2 linked regions of the Struthio camelus genome follow. The protein of the gene in region 1 interacts with the protein of each later gene in a pairwise test. Links are inferred from orthologs where the notes say so. Each region holds a gene or a part of one and is shown on either strand. Other genes may lie near its edges. The genes, in order: DZIP1 and PPP2R5A.

What was found.
Region 2: the proteins of DZIP1 (region 1) and PPP2R5A interact in binary tests that used the Homo sapiens proteins (3 or more experiments, as listed by UniProt). The link is inferred for Struthio camelus from reciprocal best matches to the Homo sapiens genes DZIP1 and PPP2R5A.

What each region holds. Positions count from the first base shown.
Region 1 is NC_090942.1:166,184,711-166,199,684, reverse strand, and holds the start of DZIP1 (cilium assembly protein DZIP1), read right to left. Parts: upstream 6,081-14,974; 5' UTR 5,831-6,080; intron 5,384-5,830; exon of another isoform or gene 4,309-5,383; intron 422-4,308; 5' UTR 334-421; coding exon 331-333; intron 247-330; coding exon 1-246. UniProt on the Homo sapiens protein: Molecular adapter that recruits protein complexes required for cilium assembly and function to the cilium basal body.
Region 2 is NC_090944.1:114,065,409-114,080,541, reverse strand, and holds the start of PPP2R5A (serine/threonine-protein phosphatase 2A 56 kDa regulatory subunit alpha isoform), read right to left. Parts: upstream 6,575-15,133; 5' UTR 5,668-6,574; coding exon 5,517-5,667; intron 1-5,516. UniProt on the Homo sapiens protein: The B regulatory subunit might modulate substrate selectivity and catalytic activity, and might also direct the localization of the catalytic enzyme to a particular subcellular compartment.

The sequences.
Region 1 (14,974 bases):
TGGGTCAGCAGGGCCCTGGCAGTGGGGGCAGCGCTCCTGCTCGGCGCTGCAGAAGGTGACGTGGCCCAGGTGCTCCTGCAGGGCAGCCACATCGCCCTCGCGCGACACCCGGCCCACGTCCACAGCGCTCAGCCGCCGCCAGTCCGGACTCTCATGGCGCCCGCGGAACTGGAAGGCAGGAAACGGCGCCGGCCCTGCTCCCCCCGCTGCTGCCGCTGCCGGGTAGTAGGCACGCTCCGTGAAGGGCTGCGGGAGAGACACCACTGCTCAGCTGGGGGCCGGCTGCACCGGGCCCGCCAGCCGCCCACCGCTCGCCACCCTGGTGCTTACCATGTCTGCTTGCGGCTTGCTGGGGCTCCTTCAGGCACCGCTGAGCGCCGGCGTCCTCCGTGTTACTATGGCAGCTGCGGCCCGGTCACCCCTGCAGGAACAGCAGCAGTGAGGACCCTGGCAGCGCCCACCTGCTTCCTGCCCTGGCTGTCCCCCGGGCACCCCAGCCTCCCTTAGGGGGCCCCCTCTGGCCCTCTCTGCTCCCCCCACCACACTCGTCCTCATCGCACACCTCCCCTGCCCCTCTGGCTCAGCACCGCCGCAGCTGCTCAGCTCAGGCACCGCTCACCCTGCGTGCACTCACGCATGCCCCGCTCAGGGGCTTTGCACATCCTCCTCACTGCTCCTCCCTACTTCATCCTTCCTGCCAGGCATCTGTCCACCTCCTACTGCTTAGACATCCCCACTGCCTCCCCGCTTTGCACCCAAACACCTCAGTCCACTCGCCAGGCCTCTCACCCAGCACACCTGCTGCCGCACCCTTCCCTAAACATCTCCCTTCAAATGCACCCTACCCTCAGGGCTTCAGTACAGCCCCTTCCTTGGCAGAATTAGACATGTTCCTCCCCACCGTGCCAATGCAACCTTTGTTTCTCCTCTCTAAAAAACGTGGCCCCAAAGGATCAGCTCGGCAATGCTTGCTGGCCCCACTGCACCCCCAACTGCTGCAGCTGCAATATTCTGGAGTGTGCAAAGAGCTCGCCATTGTTGTGCGCTTCGGAGATGTCGCCCCTTTGCCCCCGGTTCCAGACCTCCCTGCGTGCATGTGTACTCAGTGCTGCATACGCCCACCCACCTTGGATACAAATCCTTCGTATTTCCTTATCCTGGTATCTCCTTCCCCCAGTTTCTCCATATTCCCTAGGCATCATCGTACCAACTAACCTGTCTCGCATTCCAGTACTCCTACTGCCTTAACTCCGTACACCTGTGCCAATACATCTGTTAGCGTCTCCACACATTACTCGTCAAAAAATACATCTTCAGCTATACTCTGCTGTGTACGGACTCTTACCCTGGCTACACACCATATACTTTACTTCTCCACATTCCCTTTATCTCATTTCATCAATAAAGTCTATACATGATACTATATAGATCTAATTAAGTTAACTGCATCAATACATCTCCCCACCTGCTATTCTGTCACTCCTCCTTGTCACCTGTGACTCATAAACCTGTCTCACTCTGCCACATTACACTCTGCTACCCACATGCTATCTTATATCCTTCTCCAGCCTCAGCTATTCATATCCCAGATCAGTTACCACATACCTCTGTCACCTCCCCACAATCAGTACCACTATTTGGTACTTCCGTCATTTCTTTCCCATACCTTCTTATCCTAACACATTCATATACCTTCGGTATGATGCTTCCCCATGCTCTCCTCACACCAACACACCTCTACCAGGTATTACCAGGCACTAGCCTGTCTCCGATAACTGCATAACCCTGCTCTCTCATCACATCTGCCTGTCTGTCATTCCTACTTCATTTCCAACATCCCCAAACACTTCATCCCCATAAAGCACCTCATGCTATAGACACCAGTTTCACTGCTCCATTTCCTTCAAAGGCATCCAACAATTGGTGCCTATCTCCCTGACTCACCACAATTTCCAGGACTTTCCAGCTTGGTATTCCCATTCCCTTGTACCCCTTCAGTTGCTTCAAATATTGTCCCGAGGCACGAATATCCTTCCCCTCCACCATACAACATTATCCTATTCCCTCACTCATCCTTAATACTCTTCTCCAAAACCTTCTTTTCCTGATACCACTTCTTAGTATTTCAGGTCCCTATGCTACCTCTGCCATATCACCCATGTTCCATGTTTACACCTACACCTCTCAGCCCCTTCCCTACACAATTCAGTTTTTCATCCCTCCAGTCATTCCTATATGCACACTTCTCCAGGAGAATTCACACAACACATACTTCATAACACACCTCATTCCACAGGTTCCTCTATATACTATATCACATATTCATAGAAATGCTGGTTGTAAGGGGCCTCTAGTGACCATCTAGTCCAATTTTCTGCTCGAAGCAGGACTGTCATTGACACTAGATCATGTCACCTGTGGCTTTTGTACAGCTGAGTCTTGAAAACCCCTAAGAATGGATGGTGCGTGACCTCTCTGGGCAACCTGCTGGATGGCTGCACCATCCTCCTGATGAAAACATTTTTCCTAATATCCCATCTAGTAGCAATTTGTGGCCATTGTCCCTTGTTATACTCTCTGTTACTACCAAGAGAAATTTGGCTCTGACACGCTTCTAACTATCCTCAGGTAGTTGTAGGCTACTATTAAAGAGTGCCCCTTTGCCTCCTCTTCACCAAACTGAACAAGCTGAGCTCCCTCAACCTCTCTTTGAAGGTCACGTGCTGTAGACCCCTAACCATCTTGTTAGCCCTCCTCCTGCCCACTCCAGTTTCTCCACATCCCTCAGGTCCCCCTCAGTATAAGATTCCTCACCTTCAGTCATCTCCTAGAAACACTCCACATACAACTCCCAATGAACCTCACCTCGCCTCTGCATATTTTACGTTGTCCTTCCAATACAAACCGTAATATACCACAGTGAGCACACAATACATACCTTCTTCCACGCAAACAACACCAATGTTGTTATACGCACTAGTGTAAGGAGAGCTTCCCTCACAAATGAAAAGCTCTTAGCTTTATGTAGCTCTGCAAGTTCACTATGATTATTTGCTGTGCCCAGAAGCTTGTTTTTCTTATTTGTAAGGGCTGATGTAATAAAATATATCATAGCTCCCTAAAAACTTGGGCTCATTTAATCCCCCTCACCTCGGCAGAGACAGGTTCAGTATCCACATTCACCCTATGGTCGGGGCAACCCTTGGGGCAAAGGTACCCACCAGTACCCACTGTGGTACTCACCATAAAGCTCTGGTCTCCATACGCACTTTAGCTGTGTTCTGACACCACGCCAGTGAACGAGAAAACATCACTTTCTCCTTCCTCATAAAGGAAACCCAGGCACACAGCAGACTTCAAGAAGATGGGTCCCTGAGGGGGAGGACTGGGGCCTTGGGCTGGACGCCTGCAGCAGGGGTGTCTTCCTTGCAGTCAGCGCGACCAGTACACGCACCCTACAACCACGGCTGCAGGCACTGTACAGCACACCTCTGCTTCACAGCATAGACTGTCATGGAGACTCAGAGTCTTTTCCTTTAAGCCTCAGATATCTATCAAAACTCTTACCACATCTCACATCAGAAAGACCCAAATCCGTCTCAGGAATGGTTAGACTCACTTCAGCAACTTAAGGACCTAAATATTACCAGCCCTTCTCATTCTGCAGACTCACTTCTAGCCATGCACACGGGGAAAGCTGAAGGAAATTCCTTTCTTTCCGTAGCCAGGGAAAATCAGGAGAATGTATCTCTTGCTTTGTCCACATACATAAAGAGTTACACCCTTCTATTTTCCCCACTTCTGTACAAAAGTTTAAGATCAGTCTTTCGAAGAATGTACCTAGGCACAGCAGGGAGTTTCATTAATCTACCAAATGAACTTCAGGATACTAGAAGTTTGAACAGTTAGTTTGGTGACATTAGCAAAGGATACTGAGCCCTCCTGTTGGTTGACTTGAGCCACCCTAGAAGGCAATCTTCCAGAATACTTGGCACTATAACGCATGTTTTTGAACCTTTAGCCTTAAGTCTACTAGCCACACTTTACTGCAATACCTAAAGTTCACGTAATACCCCAGGAAGATACCCCAGTATCTTCCATCACTTGCCATGACTTCTTTTAATTCAGAAAAATACCTGCAGATCGGCTATATAAACAAAATTTTAACAAAATGCAGTATCAATCCCAGGAAAGACGCAAAACAACTAGAAATGAGGAAATTCTGTGATCTGATTTTCAACTCACCATTATCCAGCACAAATAGAATTTATGTGCACAGACATCCTGTGCATATGCAAATACACTCACTTTTCATCTTTCATCTGAACTCAGACACACTGTGCTGCATTTGTAATACTGCATTGTAACGCTGCAGTCTTCTCCTGAAAGGAAGCATACTGTAGACTCTATTTCATCCACAGTGTATATACACTTGCATTTATAAACTGGTTAGATTTTAAAAAAATGCTCAAATGCTTAATAAAAATAGCAACTGTCCAAAATGTTCATGCCTAGAATTCCTTCAAACATCATGGAAAATGTGAATTAGGATGTTTTTCCTCGTCAAGGAACTATTAAGTAATACACAATGAAATCAATCTCCCAAAGATCTCTGAGCCTTTCACATGCCCTTTAACATACATAGCAGAAATTTCTATACACAGAAAAATGTGAATTTTGTACATTACGGATTTTTCTTCACTTTATCAGGCAAAAGGCGACTGAAAAAGAATGCCTGAAATATTTTAATTCACAAAGGCACAAGTTTTTAAAAAAATGCTGCTTAAAACCAGCAAAGTTAAACCGGACTTATAAACATGCTTAATTTCCTCAACTGACATATTTAGTTGGGAATATCCTTGCAGAGTTTCATACTGTTTTAATTAAATCTGTTTCAACTGATTGTAAGGTTGAAATGGTGCATCACTAAAGACAGAGGAGGAAAACAGAAAAGCTGTTACGGCATCTGTCCACGGTGCTTCCTTACATCACTCAGGCAGAGAGGGGAGGCAGCAGTGGAAGGATACTGGGGTGGATCAAAACGATAGGGAAAAAAACACTTTTTTTTTTAAGCCGAATTCCCTGAAGACAAAGTGATCAAAAACGCCAGTCCCAAAGAATCAATTTTTTAGTTTAGAGGTGTAACGCCTGCTGAGATGTGCTCCATACTTGGAACATAGCCAGCTATGTTGATGCAGAAGTTCGGCTCTCACCCACAACAGCGGTTTTTGAAACCTGACTTCAGCGCGCTCTTTCTGAGGTGCAGGAGCGCCCTAATTCGGTGTTTTTGCGCAGCGGAGGCCCACAGCCAGCAGGCATACTCGCCTACCCGCTCCCAAACACGGCCGCCCTGAGGAACAGGGGAAAAGCGGCGTTTTAGCTCGCCTGTCTCGCCAGGGCCAGGGCGAGAAGATCCCGCCAGGCGGGAGGGAGGGCGAGCGGGGGGGGGGGTGCGGGAGGCGGCCGAGCCCAGGCAGACGCAGGCAGCGCCGGGCCTGCGGGAGGCCCTGCCTCGGCCTCCATCTCCCAGCCAAAAAACAACCTCCGCCTCCGCTTCAGAGAGCGGCCTCCTTCCCTCCCTCCCGCCTTCTCCTGAGGAGAGGCCCCGCCGAGCCCTCCCCTCCCCCCGCGGCGGGGCGCGCGCCCCAACGGCATCCCCGCGCGGCGGGGTGGGGGGGGGGGGGGAGAGAGCAACAGTCCCTTCGCGCGCTCCAGCGCGGCCGGCACGTGCGGCCCCGTTGACGGCGGTTGGTGGGGGGGGGGGGGGAGGGGGCAGAACCGCGGCCGGCGCAACAGGAGCCCGGCCCGCGCGCACCGCCCCGCCACTCACCTCGCGCTGCTGCTCGGCGACCGTTGGGGGCGAGCGGGGGTGGGGGGGGGGCAGGGCAGCGGCGCAGACCCGCCGCGCTGCGCCGCGCCGCCGTCGCCGGGCGCTTGAGGGGTGTCGAAGGCTGCGGCTGCTCCCCGCCCCCGACCCGGCCGGTTACTGGTGCGTGTCACAGAGGGGAGACAGCTCCCCCTGCTCCGCGCTGCCTCCTCCATCCCCTCCTCCCCGCCGCCCGCTTCCCCATCCCCCCCGCGCCGCCCGCTTCCCGCGGGCTGCCGAGGATGAGTCGGGGCAGGAGCAGCTTGCCGAGGCGGGGCGGCCGCCGCCGATAATACCGGCCCGCGCCTCTAGGGGGAGGCGGCAGGGCGAGGCGCAGCGGCGGCGCCGGTCGAGCCCCCGGCCGCCCTCCCTCCCGGCCCCGCGCTGCCGCTGGGGAGCGCGGGAGGCGGGCCCGGCGCCTCAGCTCTCCACAGTGCTCGGCAGATGTTTTCTCATAGCCTGGGTTTTCTTTGTCTTGATCCTAGCCCAGGCATGGCGTCTAAATTTCTCTGGCTAGGAGCTGCTTTTTTTTTTTTTTAAATACGTAACAACTTTACCGAAGCTTTTGGAAGGTTGTCTTTTGTAATTAATGGCATTTTTTAATCATCTCTTCACTAGCATTAATACATTTAAGCTTGTCATGCAGTGTAGTCTTCTGTGAGGACGGTAGTCTTTGCCACGGTTGGAGAAGACACCCCCGTCACAACGGGGAATCACAGTAACCTGTTCCATGTAAGTAATGCACGGAGACAGGATTACTCCTGTCCATGGGTCTAGAGAGAAGACCTCAGAAGACTTAAGATGATTATAAGGAATGTAATTTCAATTTTTATGGATGAGGGGGTTCTTTCCTAAGTGTCTTCCTGAAGTGTCCCAAAGTAAGAGGACACCGACTTCCCGTGAGAGCATCCTCTTACAGCACAGGCAGTGGTATCCTGGTGATATCTGAACCGTGCTCTGATGGAGAAACTGGATTCAAATACACTTTGTAGCGTACAGGTAGAATCTATGTAACAGCTACATTTACTTTCAGGTTACCTCAGAACCTTCTAATTTTCTTCCTCTTCCCTGTAAGATTTTAAATTGTGCCTGTCAAAATAAAGGCTATTAACAAGATTTAATTCTTTTTCAGCCTTTGTAGCAAGGAGGACAAGTTCAAGTATTTTATATTTTAATATAAAGTACCGTTGCAAATTCAGTGGAGGAAATAACTGTTGCATATGTTTTTTGGGCTACATTTAATCTTCATTCAGAAGATCCTTTTGTTCAGGGAGACAACACTTTCTCTTACAAAATACATAGGCAGCAAGCTCTGGAAAAATTTTGGTTCTTAGTATGCATGCCCAGAGGCTAGCCAAGACACTGTCCTTCCTTCCTGAAACATGAAATTCTGTTACGAGATAGCGTTGATGTGAGCACGCATGCTGCATACACAGGATTTTAACAATAAGTAGCGATTTGAATGCCTTAGTTTTTAATGTCCTGAGGCTACCTCAGTGAGCTCCAGCCACTAATGGACATTCAATCCATAGGATCAGCGTAGAGCTAGCTTGAAGTAAAACCTGAATACCTGTAAAATGTGGAAGTCAGGAATGCAGTTCACTGTTGCTACAGATCGGTCCCTTTGGGTTACACTCACTGCTAAAGCAGGCATTGGCAGAGGAAAGATGGGGATATCAAGGCTCTCTTGCCAAAGCTGTTTTATATATAACAATAAATGCTGGCTGCGTGAACAAACTTTCAAGATTCTTGCCATTTGATGACGGGAGGTGTGTATGAAGTGCACAGGAAAACTTGGATCTTAGTCACTTACTCTAATACCGGTTTAATATAAAATACACAAGCAGCCCTTGAAAGAACAGCTAGAACCAAGTCTTGTCTTCTGTGGGGATAAGGCGTCACCCTACTAGATGAAGCCTCATTCATTCTTTTACTTCTTGCCAAAGTCCAATCAATCTTTAATTATTTGCTGCAAGTGGTACAGCCTCAGCTGGCAAGATAAGTGTTCTTTACCCCCAGGCTTGTGCCTGGTTCCTCCTTCCTCACCTTATATCATATAGCTTGGTGTTGAAGGTGTTCTCCTAAAACAGGCGTGAATATACTAGGAGAGGACCAAGAGCGTTTTAGCATCCTTCTGCCTTTCCCCATCCACATGATTTGAGGCAGTGCATTTGGACATTACCTGGAAGTTTAGGGCAGCCTGCAATCAGGTCAGAGCAGACAGATGATTATTGTTCAGGCAGAAGCAGATAGTGGGGTACAATCACCATAAATCCAGCACGTCCAGAACGTGTCAGACCTACTGTGCGTTCAGTCTGCATGTTTTGGCCATCTGTGCAGTACTTACGTGGTAAGATTGAGGTTTCTTCCTTTCATTGCACATACACTGCATGATGCACATAACCCTTTATTCCTGCTAAAATTTTTCTGGGGCAAACTGTTCTAAATTCCCACATTACATGGTGCAGTCACTGCTGTGCTGTCTCTCTCCACTTCCCCTCCTTCCTCCTCTTCTCTCCCTGCCTCTGACAGGGATCAGGAATACATCTGCATCTGCTAAGAAGGTTGGAAATACAGGTTTCAGTTGATACCCAACCGGACGGTTGATGTAGCCTCTGTGCACACCATGAAGCACTGAAAAAGACTTGAAGCAGCTCATTTCTTGAAGACTTGGGCATTTTCAGCCACAGAATGTCAGGTGTTTAGGAAATAGTGAAATGTTAGCTTCTCTAGGTAGCTTCTAACCTTCTTTTATAGTAATAGATGATAGCTGAATGGGGATTTGGGGAAGTTCAACTTTAGGCTGAGGCGCTTTAAGACTTTGTACAGTCCTAAACCTAAGCTTTTTCTTCTTCCCCTTTAATTGCTTTATTCCCAGCTTCTTTCATGAAGTGTGAAAACCCTGGCTATTCTACATGTTTTTCCTATTCTAGCCAGTATGTCTCTCTGTTGCTCACCAGGGTGTTATTTCCCACATGCCAGCCTACTACAGGGAATAGTTTGTGTAAAAATCATTCCCAGTTTGTGATCCAAATTCTTCAAACAACATAGACTGGGTAGTTAACAGAGCTCTCTAGGGGTAGTTCATCTGCATTATGGTTTTGTGAAATCATTCTGTATTATCTGTTGTCCTAGGTGAATTTTCCATACTCTGTTGACACAGTGCAATGCTGAGTATGTTTTTTTCTTAACAGTTCAGTAAAAAGGAGAAGGGAAGAGATGAGGTTTGCAGGAAGTAGAAAGTTTCTCGCTGGGGAAATTGGTGAGGAAAGCTAAGAATTACAGACTCAAAATGGGATAAGTGACTTGAAGTACAAGCAGTAAACGTAGGATTCTGCGATTGGAGCAGGGTATTTCTGAGGCTTACAGAGGGTATCTGCAACTGGAGAGCACAAAGCAAGGAGAATATTCTGATTGTGGGGGGAAAATATGATGATATCTGGGCAATGTCCATTTGGGAAGTGTCTTGGGTACCAGGGGAAGGTGTTGGTGGGGGCTGCTAGGGCCTGTCCCCCCATCCCGAAGGAGCAGGGCACCGGGGGTAGCCGGAGCAGCCCCAGCCCCGGGGCAACGTCAGGCACCGCCGCAGGGATGAGACAGGGCCGAGGCTGTGGTGGGTGTCGGGGGGCCCATGGCTGGGCAGGGGCAGGGACTGACGGTCCTGGGCTGGGCTGAGATGGGGCTGGGGCTGGGTGGGCAGGCAGGGCTGGGGGTACCCCCAGGGGCCAGACAGAAGGCATTTTTTGCATCTGTAATGCATTAACTGAAAGAATTATCTGCACATTTTGTAGAATGGAGGGGTATGCAACACATTTTTTGCAAGATGTTTTAATTTGAGAGGACAGTGAGAAAGTTTTCTCGGGAACTGAAAAATAGATCCTTCAGTAATCTTTCTCTTGCACTAATCTTAGAGTGACGCACGCCAGTAATCATTAACTCTGGTGAAAAGTTGACTTAACATGCCACAGGTATAATAATGAATCTAGCCAGATTCTAAGTTTATTTAGTCTTTCCCTTCCTGTCAGCTCCCTCTCCTGCACATTTTTCCATTTTAATGCCTGCAGTCATTTCATTCTTTCAATCTTTCCATCACTTATTTTACAGGAGAAAATTATTAAAATACATATTTTTATCAGAGAATAATAAAGCGTTTGCAAAGAAAGGTAGGATGAGCACCTCTCCCAAGTCTCCTCCGGCAAAAAGATTCCTGCGCCTCCTTCTTAGTTCCAACACACAATACCTGCTATGATTAATCATAGATTGAAGAGACCGTGACCCCTACAAGTTTAACAAATTTCATTTTCAAATTTGAGTACTTTAGACCTTTCTCCAACTAAATCTTCTTCTTTTCTTCAGCTAAAACAGTCTCTTCTAAGGGTTTGTCTTCAGCTAACAAGTCTAGCTGATTTCACTGCATCAACAATACAATTCATTTATCTTCTTTTCTCCTAGACATGGAGGGAATTAAACTTAACTCTTCAGAAATGTCTGCAAACACATGGATTGTGAGTTTTATTTAATCTACACATAGGTATTACTGTAATAGCTTCCTCTTTTATTTGCAGTGAACGCAAAAATCGTGCTGAGAACAGGATTATGAAGCTTTTTCTGTTCTTGTTTGTGTGGATGTAGCCTGAAATCACTGTCTCATATCTGATGATTTTTTGCTTTCCCATTAACTTCTTTTTCAGTATCTGAAGAATAAGAGAATTACAGGTATTTACAACAGAAAGTGCACCACAGTTTTAGCCCAGGAGTACTTTTTTGACCTTTCAAACCCCTTTCTTGTCCTGTCAAAATATGCCTATGGCCAAGGGCGTCTGAGGGCCATACCTACCTCCGTGAGCCGAGGAGGGGGCAAGCTGCAGGCAGGGACCGGCGGCAGAAAGACTGTGATTCCCCTCAGGCCCTGCCATTCTTATATGCAGGGGAATTTGGCTGGGAGCCTCTGGGGATACATCAAGCGCATCAAGTACAACTTCAGTCTGGCTCACTGCCTCCCATAGCTAATCAGTCAGCCTATGCTCGAGCCCTGCCACTGATCTTGGGACACAACTCAAAAGCAAGAATCACGTTTGGACTGCTTTCAGGCTGTCTGCACCTCAAGATAGGTTGGATATCGCTGCTTCAGTGCATAGGTTTCACTCAGTGACCTCTACTCAGCCAAGCTCAGATTTCCACTGTTGCCCATCATCTGACTTATATGGTATTTAACTTAACTTGTATTTAGAAATTGTTGATATGATTGGAGCAATAAACAGGTCAATAAACACTAAAAATAAATCAGGGACCTAGTTTATAACACTTAGCAACCTCTGGATGAATTTTTAACGGTATGCATTAGATTGTTGCTCTTTTTCTAGCCAGCTAGGTTACAGTTTTACACTGACTGGGACACTTCACCATTTTTATAGGTGAGAAACAAACTGTATGAAAAAGCAAAAAGAACCACCCCCTGTCAGCCTTAGACGCTCAGCTGAAAAGGATACATGGGGACATATTACTCTCTTTCCCCTTTCTTTTTTCAAATTTTGTCAATTTAGATACTCAGAAATCTAAGGACGTGCCCAAAGTGCCCGTTAGAACTTTTCAAAATCCTGGACTCGGCAAAACTCTGAAATACTAGACATACTATCTACTCTGCAGTAAGCATTCAAGCTCTTATTTATATTTATATTCATTATGTTACACTTACCTATAGATTGCTATATTGAATGGTAAAAAGGATTAGCTGGAGCAAACGTGTGATTATTAGGAGGGGCAATGTATGTGGACGATCTCCTCTGCTGGACCTGTGGGTATGTGCTTTTGAGAGAGCCCGGGTGCCTCCTTTCACCCTTCCATCGTTGCTGTGTCAGCAGCGCAACGCACGAATTTTGTCATCTTTTGGATTGTTAGCAGTCGGAGGATAAATGAAGTCTGTTAATTCAGAGATGGGTAAATACAGGACAGTGTTAGAAGGCATCACATGCCTATGGCTTATATAAAAATTCGCTCGGGGAACGAGTTGAATAACTCTACATGGGATGCAGGCAGCTGCCACTGCATACAAAGATAGCAGGCATAGGCTGGCAGCGCTGAGGTGTGCGTTGGAGCAGGCAGAGGTAAGGCTGCACACGTACACACTTTAACCGTGCAGTCCAAATCCCCAGAAGCGTGAACTTTGCAGACCTTGGTGTTTTGGCAGGACATAAGGTAGGAATGGACGCCTTAACTGATAACGTAGTGCTTTGTCACTGATATTTTTCACCTTTTTTAAAATTGAAGAGACGTGTTCGATTAAGAGAAACACTTAAGTAGCTTGGAGTCATCATGTAGATTTGAAACTTCAGCTTTGGGACTTCAGCTGGGAAAGTTATTTTTAATACACTAGGCAAACCAAAAAACAGTTGCAGAGTTTCAAACAGTTTCAAAACTAGTTATGAAAATAGGCTGAATTTCATAAATGGGTTTCAGTCGAAAATAAGAGTTCATGAATGTTAAACTATTTCATATATTTTCAAAATAGAATGCTTTACTTCAGAAATACCAAAATATTTTACTGTTTGAAGCAAAGTTTTGACTTCTGATTTCAGAGTATCATTTTAAAATGCTCTACATCTTCAAAAATGAAAATACGTATTTTAAAAGAGGTGAGATTTTGTAATAAATGTAATATTTTGCTTTCTGTCAAGCCCCTTCACCCTCCCAAAATCAACAGACGTGGCTTTTAAATCAAAATGCTTGAAAAATACTGTTTCACTTCATCTTGAATTGTTTCAAATTTGAATTAGGTTTGAATTTGAGTTGTTTCTGGAATTTTCTGGAGTTTGCTGTTGCTGCCATGGCTGGTAAGAAAAGTTGCAGATATTGTATACATCTCACTGATTAAAATAAATTTAAAATAAATTTAATTGTGAAAATGAAACATTGGTGTCTAATTCCCATCTTCCAACTTCTGTCCTACATATCTCACAACACATAGCCCTGTTGATAATCAGCTATAGTAATATAGTTTAGTGACTGAAGGACCTGTATTATAGCAAGCTTAACCGAAATGAGAGCAAAAGACCTAGGTAGAGCCTATTTATAGCGATATAAACAACAGACAGCAGTTAGTCTCTTTTTGTAGTGTCAAAACTCAAGGTCATAGCGCAGATGGTTAAATCCACACTGGAAAAGTGGTTCTCCCATCACAGTTAGGACTAAGATATACTTGTATAATTTTGTTGGGACAGTATGAAGGGGAAAGCATTAACAGAGGGTAACCTTACCCTAAAGAAGACTAATTCCTCACACTCTTTAAAGTCCATAAGCTTCTCCAAGAGCACATTTACAGTACTTAAGTTCTTGGGCTGAACTGCATTCTGTAGGAGCCTTTCTGTTTCCATGTATTGCAAAAAGAGCCCAGGACAAGGAATTTCCCTAAAGTCATCTCTTACAAATGCCACCCAAAATGGGAAATCTTGGAACTTCCAAAAGATGTGGCCATGTAAACAATAACCCTATGCTATGCCTGCTAGCAGAGATGTACATTACTATCCCATTTAGCTCGGTCATCACTCCAATTTAATAACACAGCTGCGTTTCTGATAGCAATGCACATACAGGGGAATGGATAAAAACAAGGTGTAAGGCCTGAGAGATCCCTCACAAGAAGAAGCCCCGAGGATAGTAACTCTGTGTTATCGTCCTGTCTCACCGCCTCCCGTATTTTCATACAGGACTGTGGAAGTAACATAACAGTCCGATATATTGCTTATTCTCCTGTGTCAGGAAACTGATTGATATGGATGGGGTTTTTTTTGGAACAGAGATTAGTAACTAAGATGTGTTGCCAAGAATGCTAGCTCACAGGTAATTAGCGGGGTCCTTCCCAGTACCTGTGTGTTTTCACACCTAATCTGGATTTCTCACCACACCACAGTTACATTTGAGTAGGTTTCCCAGTTAATAAACAGAACCTACAGATTTAACTAAATCCACATCTGTCACCATATTCAGGTCACCATCCCTGTTAGAAGCAACGAGTGTCTTAAAAAGTCATTCCTTGCTAACTGATGCCCTCTGCTGTTACTGTATTACCAGCAGTAACCGTGTTGGAGAAAATTCCTTGGCTTTCCCTCCTTTGACCACTTTGAACATTAGCGTAGTCTTTGCAATCAACCCAGCTTCCACTCCAAAACTCAAGGCTGCTGAAGAAACTTGTTTCTGGTCCCAGTCTGCCAAATTTTTATTGATCCTTTTGAAAGACTTACTGTATTACAGCTGTGTCGGCTTGCTATTTCTCAGATTACTTCTAAAAAATGACGTTGGCACGTCATATCATTTGTTCTTTTAAGTCTTTCTCGTCTTCTGCATCTCGTTTGCTTCTGAAATTGCACAAGGGAAGATGTGTTAACGTACTTTCTTCTCCCAGGCTTATAGTTAATCTCTAAATTACACTTTTAGGCGTTATGATCATCAAGAATGTTCTGTCATGGTTCATGGTCTCTTTCAGGAATTACTGGTCAGGCATCTGTATGATGACTTCTCTAACACAGACGGACAGTGAAAAATGATTTCTCTTTGAGCACGTCCTTTTGTAGTGTTGGCATTACACACTGTTTTTATATACTACTACAGCCTACTGAAATACTGACCTCCCTTATTAGTATAAATACTGACTCCTTATTAAGCATCTACTGAGAATATTGGCTCACTTTTATCATAATACTGTTACTTTTTTTTAAGGGATATGATGCTTGGACTTTTATGCTTGGAAATCTGTTCAGATTGGTACTCCAGTATCAGCTACTGCTTTGAGTTTTCTTCAGATTCCAGATTGTTCTCTCCTAATCTTGTTATTAAAGGTCTCCATTAAGTAGACTGCTATCCTTACTATTGTTTCCAGTCATTTGGGGGGAGAGGGAGTTGCAGGTGTGAATTGCTATACTGTATTCACTTTTGTCTGGCTTTGGTGTAATACGTCTCTTTTTCTGAGGTACAGCCATAGGAATTCATTTATTGTAACAGTGCTCGCATTCTGCTCATGCTCAGTTTTTGGCTTTCGTATTTTGTCCTCTCCATAATGCTACAGAGTTGTCATGTTCTGCCTCACGCTGACATCTTTAGAGTGGCATCAATTAT
Region 2 (15,133 bases), on another chromosome or scaffold:
AGATTAAAACAAGTGTTAGGATTACGTTGGCAGAGAAGCTGAATTTTATGCCCTTCCCAATGGAAATGATGGGGTATTTGTCTTTCCAAACAAAGAAAACACACATCCCTTCTATACTTAGATAACTCTTGCTTGCAACAGTACAGAACTGTTGGTGCAGCACCTTTTCAAAAGCGCAGAAAGATTTTAAGATAGACAGATATTAAAAAGAATGTTGTAGATCGATGTAACGTTATTTTGATCAGATAGCCTGGAGCAGTAAGTAATCACATTCATATTTCTTACAGCAACTAACATTAAATTCAGCACCTGCAAAACTAATATCTGACCAAACTAGAAAGCTACGAATATGGAAAAAAAGAAATCTGATACTAAGCTGGCACACAGAAGATGTGAAAGATTTAAATAGAAAAGTTCATGTGAAGACTGTCAATAGATTCTATATTTAGGAATTGCTCTTGATGGAAGTATATTCTAAGACCAAAAATTCAAGTCTAAGGATAAGAAAGGTCAATTCTTTAAGAATTAAAGACCAAATGTTCCACTCCATAAACTGAGAACAGTTCCTTAATACAGAAAAAATTAAACGGTTCATTTTCCATAGAATTATATTATAATGATTAAAAAATTCTTAAATCTTCTCTAGCTATTACAACTTCTCTATTTTTCAAAACTGTAACCTCACTAGACAGAGATTTTGACTATATTAACTGTGTACTCTGTTGAGATTATACATAACAATTAAACCACAATTATTTACAGAATGCACTCATTCTTCATCTGAGAAAAAAAAATTGTCTTTTAAAGAAAAATATTACCTAGGAAGATTATAGCTGCAAGTGATATTGAATACAAAAGGTAGAGGATAAGGAACTACAAGAAATCAATGGAAACTTCAGAGACATAGATCTGTCACTTCACTTACAAATATTTATGAAGGCTTTAGTAAAAGTAAACCATTCTAAAATTTTTGAAGGATGTTTTCCTTTTGTGAGCAAAGGCAAGTTAATGTTAGTATGAGAATAAAATCCCCTAAGCTCTTTTAAACTCCATTTATTTTTATTACTCTGAAATATACAGTGTATGACTCAAAACATCAGAAGTTTAAGGCTTGAACTATCTCTGATGAATTTAAGTAATGTTTAAATTTAAACCTTTAGTCAAGTTTATTGGGCCTTCCTGTAATGCTTCCACAAAAGCCTAGCCTGAACACTGCACCTAGTTTCCAGTTAAGTCCAAGCTCTCTCTCTCTCTCTCAATGGCTGAGGAGAGATAACAGCATTGTTAACATTCACTGTGGCCCCCTTATTTGGATGTCCAAACTGCCTACTAGGAAGTTGCCTTATAAGCATCTTATTCCAGTATCCTTCACCATTCCCACCATAATCCTCCATCCCATGGAGATTCTTATAACTCTTCCTAGCCTATGGGATTTTCGGACCAATTTCCAGTTCTTCAGCTGTAAGGGCCTGAGTGTTCTCCATAGGAAGACAGTTCAATTCGGAAGTGAACAGCAAGAATTTCTTTCATTAGTTTTGCTCTCTGTGTATGGACATAAGTCTGGGGTGACCCATCTCATCCCAAAAGGATTTTCAGTCCTGAGAAGATCACAAAGAAATGTCAGGAAATGCTTTATTCCTTCCAGTGATGCTTGACATGTTTGGTACAGAGGAAAAAGGTATATTTGCTTCACAAACAAACAGACCATATTAATTGTACTAAATAAAAACCAATAAGCTGCATGGTTGAATCAAGGATTTTTCTTTCTTCACTTCTATTCACCATTTTCCACCTATATTTCTTACACACTTTTTCAACTCCTTTATTAAAAAAAACACACACAAAACCAGGGAAACATGTATGTATACTTTTATCATAATGAGTTCATATCTGATTTCCAGACCAAGCTGCTTTCAAAAAATGAAGCTAACTGTGTATGTTACCACAGTCATTTAAAATGATTTACTAAATTATTAAGACACAGTTACCAATTCTTAAGATGTTGAAATAATACTTCCTTTGCCAGATTTCTTTAAATCCAACAGTGTCAGGATTGTCCACTAAATAACAAAATCCTGCTGTTAACTAGTACATTTTTTTGGCTGTATGTATTCAAAGGATTTGTAAGCTATAAAGTTAAAAAAAAAAAAAAAAAAAAATCAAACCCCCAAAACTCCAAACCACACAACCTGCTACAGCTTTAGTAAGTTTTGGGGTTTTTTTTTTTTTTTTGTAATAGTCACTGGGTCCTCAGTATTTCTTATTTAGCTTTTAAATAATACAGTAAAATGGACACTGTCCTGAATAACAAACACATAGGAAACCTGTTAACTTAACTGAAGAACACATTACTAATTTACCTAGCCTGACATCAGCTAGGCTTTGCTGAGCTTTTATCCAGAACTGACACACAATACTACACCACACACAAAAATAAGTTGAATCTTAGTGAGTCACACAATTCTGCCCCTCCAAATCTCTGAAGTTACAATACTATTTGGGACAGTGATTACTAGTCACAGATAAGTGTTTTCTCCTAGTGGTGGCATATCATGCAGCTAAATTGGGGAATTTCGGTAATATGCAACAGCAATACACCAAAAATAACATACTTTTAACAATATTATCTATCTACAGGCTTTCAAACAACACTACTTAAAACTTGGGCAAGTATGTTACACAATCTGATTTGGCCATTTTAGTGACAAATAAACAACATTCTCTAGATAAAAGAAAAAATAAACGATCCACCCAGTAAGGTATTTGTTAGAAGTAAATGATTAGTTCTTCTTTCATAAGATCTCTCCTTCCAGTACAACAATGTGCAAGTATTTTGGGCCAATCTGACAAACCTGCCTGGCAGTTTTAGAATACTTTATTTTCTCTGAAACAACGAAACAAGACAGTAACTATAGAAAAAATGAAATATTTTACAGCAGTATAATGTTTTTCACCTACAAAACTTCTCCCAATAAAGGCTTCAAACATCTGCATTTCACCATTTATCCGAAAAAGCAGAGAGTGTTAATCTAAAGTCAGAAATGCATGCTGAATATCCTTAGGCATTCATATAATGACTATACTTTCCTTTTTCAGCCGCTCCCTGCGAATGCTGGCTGTTACTCTATAGATGACACTATACTAGCAGCATCACAGCTATTCTTTGAAGTAAATGTAGAGTTCAGTAATAAAGTAAAGCTTCATTTTCCCAAGACACATGTGAACAGAACAAATACTTTATTTCTAGAAGCGCTCTTGTTTTGGGGGGGGGGGGTGAGCGGGGATGTTTAAGAGGAAAAAAAGGAGAGGAAGTGTCATGAAGAACGGGAGAAAAACATCATACACTACAATCATCTTATAGCATCAAAAGATCATATGTAGCCATGTTCAGGACAATTCAAATTCCCAGTATATCCAAACATCACAAATCCAAGAGAGAAAATATGCAGAAGTGTGCTGCCTGACTTTCTGATAACTGGCTGATTGGGACAGTCACCAGTGGGTTTTTCATTTTGCTAACTCATAAAAACAATTCTATATTTTGCTCAAAATTTATATTCTGAGGCAGATTTGGAGTATGAGTCTTAAATTTAAACCATAAGCACAAAGCCAGATGTTATTTTCCATTAAGAATTTAAGGCAATTCAGACTACTATAAAACTATGAATAACTGAAAACATTCCTCTGATTGTTCATGGCCTCAAATTTCCAAACGTCTGAGCTGCTGATGCCATGCAGAATTTCCTATACTACAAGAACACAGCTTTAAAAATACACTCACAAAACTCTAAGACTTAACTGTACAGAGTGAAACATTTTTAACATTAAGTTCCAACTCAGCAAAGAATGTAAAGTTGGACATTTTACTGATTTAAGCTGGGTCATTTCTTGCATAAAGTATGCATGCTTAACTGCTTGCAGAATCAGGACCAAAACTCCCTGAATTCTGCCACCTATTCATGATATTTACCAAGTGCTTCTACAGGGTCTTAGTAGCAAGCAGTGTTATAAAAATCATATTTGAGAGCAATATACACTGTCTAAACAGTGTATGCATGAGAGTCATTATTAAAGATATGCAGAAACGTAGCCATACCAAGAGCAGAAACTGAATTCTGATCTCAAACAAATTACTCTGGTTAAGAATTAAAATAATTATTCTAGTTTTCTCAAATTACACTAGCTTACCAAGATAGGATAGAACTTGACAGAGAAAAGAAAATCCTAACCAAGCAGTAAGAACACCCACAGTTACTGCAACAGATATGGGAGAGGAAAAAAACAAAAACAAAACAAAAAACCCACAACTCCCTTGTTACCTTCCTGCCCTAGCTTATTTGCTTCTAATAACATTTCTGCTAACAGTTTCATGATTTACACTGTCTACTGTGTACATCTACCACTCGAGTAAAAAAGCCTTGAAATATTATAAACATGACTATAAAAGCCGTAAGAAGAAAACAAGCAGCAAAAAAAAAAGTTATTTGATACCTAAAACTATTTTTAAGCTGGCTAAATTGCATTTAAATTCTGTATTTTTGATGCAAATTGAGATTGCTGTCCATCATCACATGATACAGCTTCAAAAATCCTAAGATCAACAGTAGCATCAAGAAATTTAGTATTTTGGGTAACGTTAAGGTAACACCTCCACCGTCTTTCTCAGGTCCTTGTCAAACACTTTATTTTAATAACAAACTTATATTCTCTACCTAATAACTATTTCTGTAATTTTTAAAACAACAAGAAATATATACAACTTGAATTTGATGTTTAAAGGTGTGACAGGCTACAACTAACTTCATTTTTGTACTCTTCTAACAAACATAGACTATTCAGATTTTAGCTTCAGGACACAGGATAAGCGTCCACTATTTTCTTTGAGTTTTAGTGAGGCCAGCATCTAAAAACCTTAATTCACTGCGTGTGACTGATCCTGTACCACACTAAGCAGGAGAGAGGCTTTGGGGCAATTCCTGATAGTTAGAATAAGACAAGTAAAGAGTCATTCAAGAACTGTCTAGAGGTGATGGGAAAGCACAAACAAGTCAAAGGCAAACCCTCTCTGATAACTCAAGATATTATGCCACAGGCACCGAGTTCCTCTTTGCAAAACCCCCCCCGTGGGAGGAGCCACCACTTGCTCCACGGTTTTAATCCTCAATTCTCTCTACTCCTACACTCAAATTTATCAGCTTAAGGGAGAGTTTACAGTTGCGCACAAGCCGTCAGGAAGCCTACCTGCCCTCCCAACGCTTACTCCTAAAAGAGCCAGGAAGGGGGCTGCCAGGTAGCGCAGTTAAGCCCCGCGGCGGTGAGAAGCGACCCGCACGCTCCGTTACCCGCGGAGAAGCGCGGCCCGAGGCAGAAAGCCCGTCCGCGCCGAGCACGACGGCCGCAAGGGCCGGCGGCAGGGCGCAGCCGGGGCCGGAGGACGAGCCGCGGCAGGCGGCGGTGGGGCAGGCGAGGGGCCCCGGGGCACCTGTTAGCCGGAGGGGGGAGAGGGGCAGCGGTACCTTTGAGCTGGGGCAGGGGCGAGAGCTCCACCTGGCTGCTCTGGCTGCGGAACTGCGAGGAGCCCTGCGAGCGCTTCTGCCTCTGAGCCTTGCGCACCGATTTCCGTGTGAAGCCATCCACTTTCTCCGCGGCAGAGATGGCCGCCGACATGGCTGGGCGGTGAGGCGGCGCGGCGGGACGTCGCTCTCCACAAGCATATATTAAAGCGGAGGGAGAAAGCGGGCGGGCAAAAAAGGGGCTTAAAAGAAAGAAAAAAAAAAAAGAGGGGGGAGAAAAAAAAAAAAAAGGCTCCCTGCCCTCAAGCCGGCCCGCGCACACACACCAAGGCGAAAGGCGGTGCAGAGGGCTGGTGTCCCAGCGGCAAGCAGGCTTCCGCGCCGCCTCGGGCAGCGGCCGTCCCGGCGCTGGCCCCTCGCTGCCGGGCGCTGAGGAGCCTCCTGGATGCGGGCCGCTGCCTCGCTCCCCAGTTCCTGCTTCCCTCCCAATTTCCTCTCCGCGCGGAGCCGGCTCCGGGGGAGGCGGCGGGCGGGGAGGGGAGAAGAGGGAAGGGAAAAACAAAAAAAGCAAACAAACAAACCCAGCAACAACTTTGCCCGGCGGGGCGGGCACACGCCAAACTTTCCCGTGAGCGGGGCGGGGGGGTGGCGTGCCGGGCTCCCGCTCTCCTCAGGGCAGGCGCAACAAGAGCCGCGGCGGGCCGGGCTCGGCGGCGCCGCTGCTGCCCGCCTCCCGCCTCACTCGCTCCGGGCCCCCCTCAGCCGGGCTCGCCTGCGCCAGCCCGCGCCGAGCCCGCTGTCATCGGCCGCGCTCGCCGCTGGGCCGAGCCCACCGGGGAGGCAGTTTCCACCCCCCCCTCCTCCTCCTCCTCCTCCCCAAATCGCTCGCTTCCACACGCCCTCTCTCCGCCTTCAACCGCCGCCGGCAGCTCCCCGCGCCTCCGCCGTCATCCTGTCCCCTCCCGCTCCGCCAGGAGTGTCTCCGCCCGCCGCGGCCGCGCCGCCCGAGCCCCGGAGCCGCCGAGCCAGCGGTCGCGCAACTTGGCGGCGCGAGTGGAGTTGAGGCGGGGAGGAAGGCGGTGGGGGGGGGGAGGGGAGAGGGGCGGGGCAGCGGTTACCCGCCAGGGGGCAAGAAAGGCACGGAGGAGCGGCCGTTGCGCCGGCGTTCGATGACTGGCAGCGCCGAGCAGCCAATGCGAAAAGGGCACCATGGAACCCCCCCCCCACACACACACACACACTACCCCCCCTCGCGGGCCGGGGGTGGGAAGAACGCGAGAGCTGGGACGAGTTCCCGGGGAAGGAGTGATTGACAAGAGGCTTCTCCAACCGGATGAGGCCGAAAGGGGGGTGGGCGGGTTTTTAATCTTTGACGCAGGGGAGAGGTGGAGGTGGGGGGGTGGGGCGGTTCCCGGCCAATCCGCGCCAGGGGGCGGTCCCAAGGCCGGCGTTCGCGCCGGGGAGGGAGGCGGTTGGGCGCGCGAGGCTCCCGCCCCGCCCCGCCCCGCCCCGCCCGCCGCAGTAGCCGTTACCGCGGCGCCCCGCGTGCGGGCGGCGAAACCCTTTCCCCGGGTTGGGGCCGCCTCAGTGCTGCCGCTCGGCTTCGCCGTCGCGGGGTCAGGAGGCGCCGCCGTGACCAGGTTCCCCGGGCCGGAGCCCTCCTGGGCGCCTCTCCGGCGCGGCCCGGCGCCATGGCGTTGCGCCGGGCTCCTCGCCGCCTCCCGGCCTCTGAGCCCGGCGGTGGCGGGGGTCGAGGGCTCCCGGCCTCGGCGCCCCCCGGGTGGCACGGGCCGGCCGGCCGGCAGGGCTGGGGCTGGCCAGAAATTACTGGTGCTGCTGGGAAAACGGCAGTTATGCTCGAGCCTTTCAGCGGGCCGTTAGCAGCCACGTGTGGTAACTGGAGACGCTCCCCACTGAGAAAACTGCTAAAAGCGTGCTTAACCACGGCCGCTGTGTGCTTGGAGTGACGCTACAACTAAATGAGTTTTGTGTGGGGGACGTTGTCCTTAGCTATCTTCCGAGTGCTTCTATTTTTTTTTTTTTTTTGCTTGTCCTGACACCACGCATTTTTCTCTCCCATGTGTTTGACTTTTATGAATCTGGGTTACCATGGCGTTTACTGAGTCACAATGCCGTTTTGGAGGCTGCTGCAGCACACACGGTTGTCTGAAGCAAGCACGTGCTTAACTTTCAAAGTGTGAATGTTTATTCTTTTTTTTGTTGGTGGCTTAGAATAAGAATACCAAATCTTGTAGGCCCATGGGTGGCAAGAGATGTTGCTTTTACACCATGGGTATGAATGAAATGGAAGAATGGGGGGCGGGAATAGGAGAAATTCTATCTTTCTGCACAAAAAAATGGAATAGCAGCATTTTGGGGGATGGAATTTGGGTCTAGTGTCTCAATTACAAATATGTCGCAAAAAGTAAAAATTCCGTACAATTTATATAATTCCAGTTGAATTTCAGCCATGGAAAACAAGATTTGTAACTGTTACACCAAATGAAAAGCATGATGCTTGAGGATGCAGTATATGACTACATGAAAATATGACTTTTACCCGGTCCCATTTCCATATCCAAACAGCCCTACTTTTGAACCATAAACATATGGGATGCCTTAGCTTGTCGTTCAGGTAGAGATGACAGACTAGTTTCGTGCATATCAACACATTTCTTCTTAATGCAGAGTTTTAGGTACCAATTCAGCAAATAAATATTTGTGGTATTTTAAATATGTGCTCAGATCTGAATGTCTTTGGTAGGTTGTAAATACTGTGAAGTAACTGTATATGTTTCCTAAATACTTTCATGAGGTGGGAGTTTAAACTTCAGATGTATGATCAGTAAATCAAAAATCAAGTGTAGGTTATGGCTTTGTGTGAACATAGAAAACTAAGACTGTATAAGCCTGTTCTATAGGAACTATTTCATTTTATCAGTCTTTCCTTTTTTCTTTCTTATGGCAACACCATCTCTACTTACTTTTTAATGCATGATTACTTGTGTACCTTCATCTTTTTTGCTTTTAATTAATCTTTAGTATTCAGAAAATGTGGAGAGTAGTCTAAGAATTTTTTTTCTAAGTATTCCAGACTATCCAATATATCTATAAGTTATTTTTCCCTAAGCATAAGTTGCAGTGTGCTGTTATCTTTCTTGTAGGTAGGTAGACTTTTTATTTCATTTGTATTTTTATAAATATATTTTACAAAATCCATTTTACAAACAAAATGGGTACCTTTAGGCACTTTAAACTGCAAGCTCGTGTATTTGTTGTAATAAAGGAAATTCTTGCACTCCTTACCTGGTTAATTCACCTCTCACTTCAAAGACCATAGTTCCTGTTCAGAGCCCACTAAGGCCCAGTCCCTGTGTCAGTGTATTCCTGCCTGCCCTCCAACAGCTGTCATTTTCTGCTACACCCATTTTTAGAAAGTGACACTGTCTAGTGTGTCCGATACAGTCTTTAGTGGCAACTCAACTCTTGCTGCCTCTTCTCAGTGTAAAGGAATCTATCTTAAAGTTCCATCCATTCAATATTTTGAAAGCTGTCAGGGAAAAGCATTATATAAATGCTAAGTAACATAAGAGCATTTTCTGAGCTTTAAAATACTTTCTTCAAGGTTACTAGGCTTTGGAATGGCTGCCATGCTGATAAGACAATGTTGTAAAAATCCATTGGCAGTTGAAATTCCTGATGCAGAAACCTAAGTAAATAATAGCTGTAATCTTGCAAAGATGGAATTTTCATATTGATTGCGCCTGAAAATATTTTCAGACCTTATCTTTTTATATCACTCACACAAGAAATATCAGTGAAATCTGAGTCAGCCAACAAAAAGAAACAATTTTATTCTCTCAAATCTATTTTTAGCTATCGAATTTTCCTTTGTCTTTTTATTATAACTCTTCTGTTTTGAAAAAGAATCAGCAGCAGCTCCGTGGACCGGCTCTAATTTCACAAACTGAATTTGTAATATTTGAATTAGTGAACGAGGTCAGTGGAATTACATGAATGAATAAAGTCAGTTGAGCATACAGGTCTATGGGATTGGGATGTTAGGAGAAAAAAGGAAACAGAGCTCCGACTGGCAATTTGAAGCAGCTACATTTGAGAAAGCCAGAGATTGCCCTTCCCTGCTTGCTGCACACACGGCTTCCTACACAGCTGTGAGCTGCTTGTGAGTCAGCTTCTGAACCTCATGGTTTTTAGAGTGTATTTAAAGGCACGTGGTCACGATGCCAGGCTATAAGCTGCTGGCTCCAAATCTAATTCATAAAAGTCTGAGATATCCACAGAGAATGTTGTGAACGGTAATTTTATGGCAAGCTATTCCAACTCTTAAATCAGAGCCTTCAATATACACTGAAGCATGGATCCTGCAAAACTTTGTGCATGTGTCTAACTTTACTTGGAAGAAAAGTCAAAGGTTTAGGAAGTAATGATCATTATCATTCTAAATGGAGGAGCAAAATTCTAGAAGAGATTTCACTAAACGTCACGTTTGCAATACTTTTCGTTAAATCATAGAGACTTATTTCCTGTATATTCTTAGCATCTTCTCAGCATCTTCCCTGCAGGAGTGAGACCTTCAAAAATATGAATGGGAACTTGATGTGTCATTAACTTTTAGAGTTCTAACAAACTTGGCTTGGAAGCGTGGGGCTTCATGGATCAGGTTGCTACAGAGGACAGGGAATTGTCTGGTGGCCAGGAGATAAGGAGTTAACTAGTTCTGCTTTCCCATTCTTCTGTCAGGTCAAGCTGCAAGAAATCTAGTTCTCCGAGACAGTAGGAGGAATATAATAGTAAAGAGGATGCCATAAGTGGGTGAACCCTCAGCCAGGAAGGTTTGTGGGGAAAGAGGTTATGAAAACCTTTTGATATCCTTCTCAAAATGAAGAATTTAAAGGAAAATCCCTGTGCGTCACAACACTGCTTGTATTTACTACTGCACCATTCCATCGGTTTTTCTAGGTATTTTTTTCAGCTAACTTAAAATACTTTCTGTGCTAAGGCTCTACTCTTTCAAGCATGCCTGGGATTAAGTTTAAGCACTTGAACTGTGCCTGCCACTAAAACCAAGTTAGTTATTCACATATTTCAGGTTAAAGTGTGTAAATGTCTGCATGTCTGCACTGGATAGTCACTATCTAGCAGAAGTGTTCCTAAATCTTTTGCTTGATAAATCCTTAAATAATGTAGAATCACTTATCTCAGAGACCATCTGTTATCTTCCTCCTAGAGCAGGATTTAAAATCGTGGGATTGGAAGTCAGAGATTAGTTGGCAGGACCTTCTCTTGTGAGGGCTCTGAGTTAGACTTCCTTCAGCATACCTATGAATACATTCTTGCAGCCTTTCCAGGCAAAGCTATGCGCTTGTGTATGCGCAGGCAGTGGATTGTGAAAACTAGATGTGATTCTTCTTCTTATTTTTAAAACTTTTTAATTCAATCTTCTGTTAGCTAATCCAACATGGTTGTGTTGCAAATAAAAAATTTAAGAAGTTTGTACACGTATGCGCACATACACACATCCACTGATTATCATAACTGATAATCCAGTGAAAATGTATCCTAATTTAACTTCTTCTATTTGTGTATTGAACTGTCTTTTTTGGTGGAAACAGTGATGTCTGAGACCTCAACAGGAGTCTATCTGGATCGGTAAGATGCAAAGCGTCCCTTTAGGGCGTACATTTACAACCAAGCTTTCAAAGTTGGTTAGCATCTTTGTCAGAATGATATTCCCTTAGCAAAAATCTATAGAACATGAACATATATAGATAGATAGATAGATATTTATTAGTCTGTTCCTTGTGCTGAAGATTTATTTGCATTTTCTATATAAAATGGGAAAGATTTGCAGCAGGAAGAGTAGATTCACTGCTATTTTTAAAGGTAACAAATGGCACCTCTATTTGCTGAAATGAAAAAAAAAAAAAAACCACACAAAATCCCACTTTCTAAATGCTTCTCTGTGGCAAACCAGACCTTCAAAAATGCCAACTAGCACTGTCCTCAGCTTTACAATCTCTTACAAAGATTGTTCAACACATTTAGAAAATAAAAAGGAACTATTTCTGTTATGAAATGTTTGCATTTAAAAAGGGAACACCTGGAAGCTAGAGTTTTTTCAGAAATAATTCTTAATGCTCAGTGAAAGGAATTAAACAAACAAGCAGCAAGGTTTATTCTGTCAAGTTCTCAGCAGGCTGACAAGAATTACTGCATGCTAAGAATCAGCTGCTCTTGGAAACTTTATGAATGTGGCAGCCAGAAAAGTACAAAACATGGCCAAGAGACATAAAGCAGATATATAGCCTGTAACAAAGAGAAATGAAGAGAATGGCTAAATCTCCGTAAATCTAAGGCGGAAAGAGTTTGCTGTACCAGCGTTTCAGAACGCTTCGACAGTGTAGAACACTTCCTATAAGGAATTAGTTTTGCATCTCAAATTGTAATTCTGTTCCCATGCCAGAAATAGTAATTGCCTACTTGGAAAATAATAGCAGAAAATTATTTTTATATTTTCATCTGTCTCTACTGTGATTTAGCAACTGGAAACAAAGAGCCAAGTCTTGTGTGCAGCCAGTTCTTTGCGGTCCATGAGCAAGTGGCCTGACAACCATTGTTTGCAAACCTCTGCTTTGTATCCATGCTCAGTTCCCCACTACAGCTTCTCGGACATTTTTTAGAAACTTTTTTGCAAAAGCAGAATGAGTGCTACCAGTCAGGAGGAGTCCTAAATGCCGAATAATTATTATCATTCCTTCCCCTCCCCAGCTAATGAATGAAACCAAGTCATACATACTTGTGGATTCTTTTGATTTGTCGTGTAGGTTAAGAAGCTTTGGTGTGCCTTTGTTTCATGTTTTCAGGCTTTTCTCAAATGTGAGAGCTGCAAAAGAGACTTAAAAGAGAGAGCTATGATTCTCATGTAATAACGTGATTCCCAGATCTGGGTCTTTGAAAAAAAATGCTGTGGAACTTGAGATGAAGTCAGAAGTGTAGGTAAACACAAAAAAGACATTCAAGCAAGCCTGTGAGGGATCTTGGTAATGTTTATAATAATTTAGTCATTTGTTCTTTTATCTGTAGCAGCCATAAAAAATTATTTTGGCCAGCAGATGAAATGAAGTTACTCAGTCTTATTAAGATTTCAGAAGTACATGCATTCATGTTAGGACTTGCCTACCTGGGGGAAATTTACTGCTTTTACTATAGCAATAGAGCTATAAGTCATTGAATTATAGCAACACAGTAATGCCAGTGAATCCTGCTTATGTAGATGTGCCCTTAGTCAGGGCGGTGAAGGAAGCCATGCTTGTTTCTGCCACAGGGCAATCTGGCATTATAGCCGAAGCTGTCTCTCGCAGGTCGCCGTCTAGGGCAAAGTCGCAGCGTTTCGACCCCGCAGCTGACAGAGGCAGCACCTTAGGTGACCTGGCGCACTCTCCTCCCAGCGGATCTGCCACCGCAGCCGCTAAGCACAGACCGTGCAGCGAGCTCGCTTAATCCTACCCACTGAACACATGAGCTGCAGTTTGCGTTTCAGTCTGTAAATTGTTCTTTTGTTTTGCAGGCTTTACTGAACACAGTTTTATTTCATGTGACTGTGCTATTTATGGAGGAGTAAATATTGCCGGGGGTCTATTTGAAAAGGCCAATGACCTGGATTTTTTTCCATTTGAATTATCTCCAAGAGTCAGACGTGTTTAACAACTGATTTTTTCCCTTGTTGCTGTAGACTGCAATCGTTCCTAACATCTTAGATCAACATCGACTAAAAAGATGAAGATTTTTGAGAAAAATAAAACTTAATGTAGTGAGAGAGTAATTAGATGGTATACAACGTTTCCATTTCTGGAAGTGATGAATTCCGTCCAGAACTACCAGTTATCAACATAGTATGTTTTTATCCCTAAATGTTGGCCTTTTATAGTTTGACACTGCTGTGGTAATTTCAGTTCATAGCTCCAGTTTGCTCCTTTAATTTTTATTCTGTTTTACAAAGCCTAGTATCTAGTATGTTTCCACATATTATAATTAAATAAACAAAGCATGTTTTCGGAACAGGAAGATTTAAACAGAGTAAATATTCTTCCTGCTGTCCTTGCAATCTAAATAGCAGTATTGCTTTACAATTTAAGAATCAGAAAGTAAAACATTGCAGGAAAAATATTGCTATATTTTCACTTTCAAGAAAGAGTTTCGTGAAAGCAAACAGGTGGCCCGATGTGAAGAATATTAAACATGTTTGGGTATTCTTAAAAGATAAGCCAATCATATTGGTATAATGCGTACCGTTTTTTTAGCAGAATAAAATAAGTTGATCAAAATTCCATGAAGTATAATGGGCTCCAACCTGAAATTTTGCTGCACACATACTACTCTTTACCTAGCCATGGAAAAGCATGAAAAAGATGTAATTTGTATACCGAACATCATTCAGTATATGCTCTAAAGTTTGTAGGTTTTGCCATGCAGTTACAAGGTACCCTGTCTTCAGTACAGCACCAGATTCAGAAGTTACAACCCTCTTCTCCCTTGGAGAGGTGGAAGTAAGCGGACAGATATGGGTTTTTCTCAAGCAAGCCTTACTGTCAAAACCACCACGGTATGCAATTGCATTTCTTCAAAATCTGTTATTTACTGGGGAATTGGACAACACTTGGATGATTTAATGCCTTTATGAAGTAAATGAAGAGTACATCTTTAATATTCTCCTGGCCTGGACCACGCTACGTCACAAAGAAGCCTTATTGTTCAAGTTCCCTGCACACAGTCCCACCATTCCTTCTCCGTCCTTCAGGAAGAGCCCAAGAGGCAGTGGCAGAACTTGTCGTTACGTTGATTTCTTAGCGCAGACGTTAAGTTCAAGGCATTTGCAAAAATGTTCCACATTACTAATAAAACTAATAGAAACTTGCATTTGCATTTCTTCAACCAGAACAAAACTGAATTCTTGCACATTTTCTAGGGCAGAGATTTTTGTTCCTCACAAAGGAGAAAGCTTTTTGAAGGTTTTCCACTCAATCCCAGCACTTATTACTTCAACCTTCTCATTTTTTGTGTCCCTTTTCAAACATCTGAGTTTACCAGTAGGTTATTTCACACTCTAAAAAGATTGTAGTCTGCTTTGAGTCAAAATTGCTGCTGCACTGACATTTAACTGCCGTCAGTGACACCTACAGCCTGCATTAAGACTATTTGAACAAGTGCTGTTTCGTTCTCAGTTAAGTAACATGTGTTTTCAGTTCTCGTTTGTATTGCTAAACATGAATTTTCAGATTCTAACTCAAATCATCTTTCAAAATTAAATTAGCTAAAGCCTTAATTAGCCAGCAACGGATCAGAACAGACTGCAGTGACTACACATGCTACTCCATTCTATCTCTTAGAAAGCTGCCAGCTTGTAAGGAAGGAAAAATTTCAGAGGCTCTTTCTCTCTTAGTAGACCTTAGCAGAATGATTATAGTATAGCCAAGCACCTGCAGTAATTCCTTCCTAGGTTCTTTCTTGGTGATTAACTAGTTAAAACAGACCTTAAAGGAAAAATATCCTAAACTGTTTGGTATACGTGTGCTCCCATGCAAGGATATCTCAGAATCTTG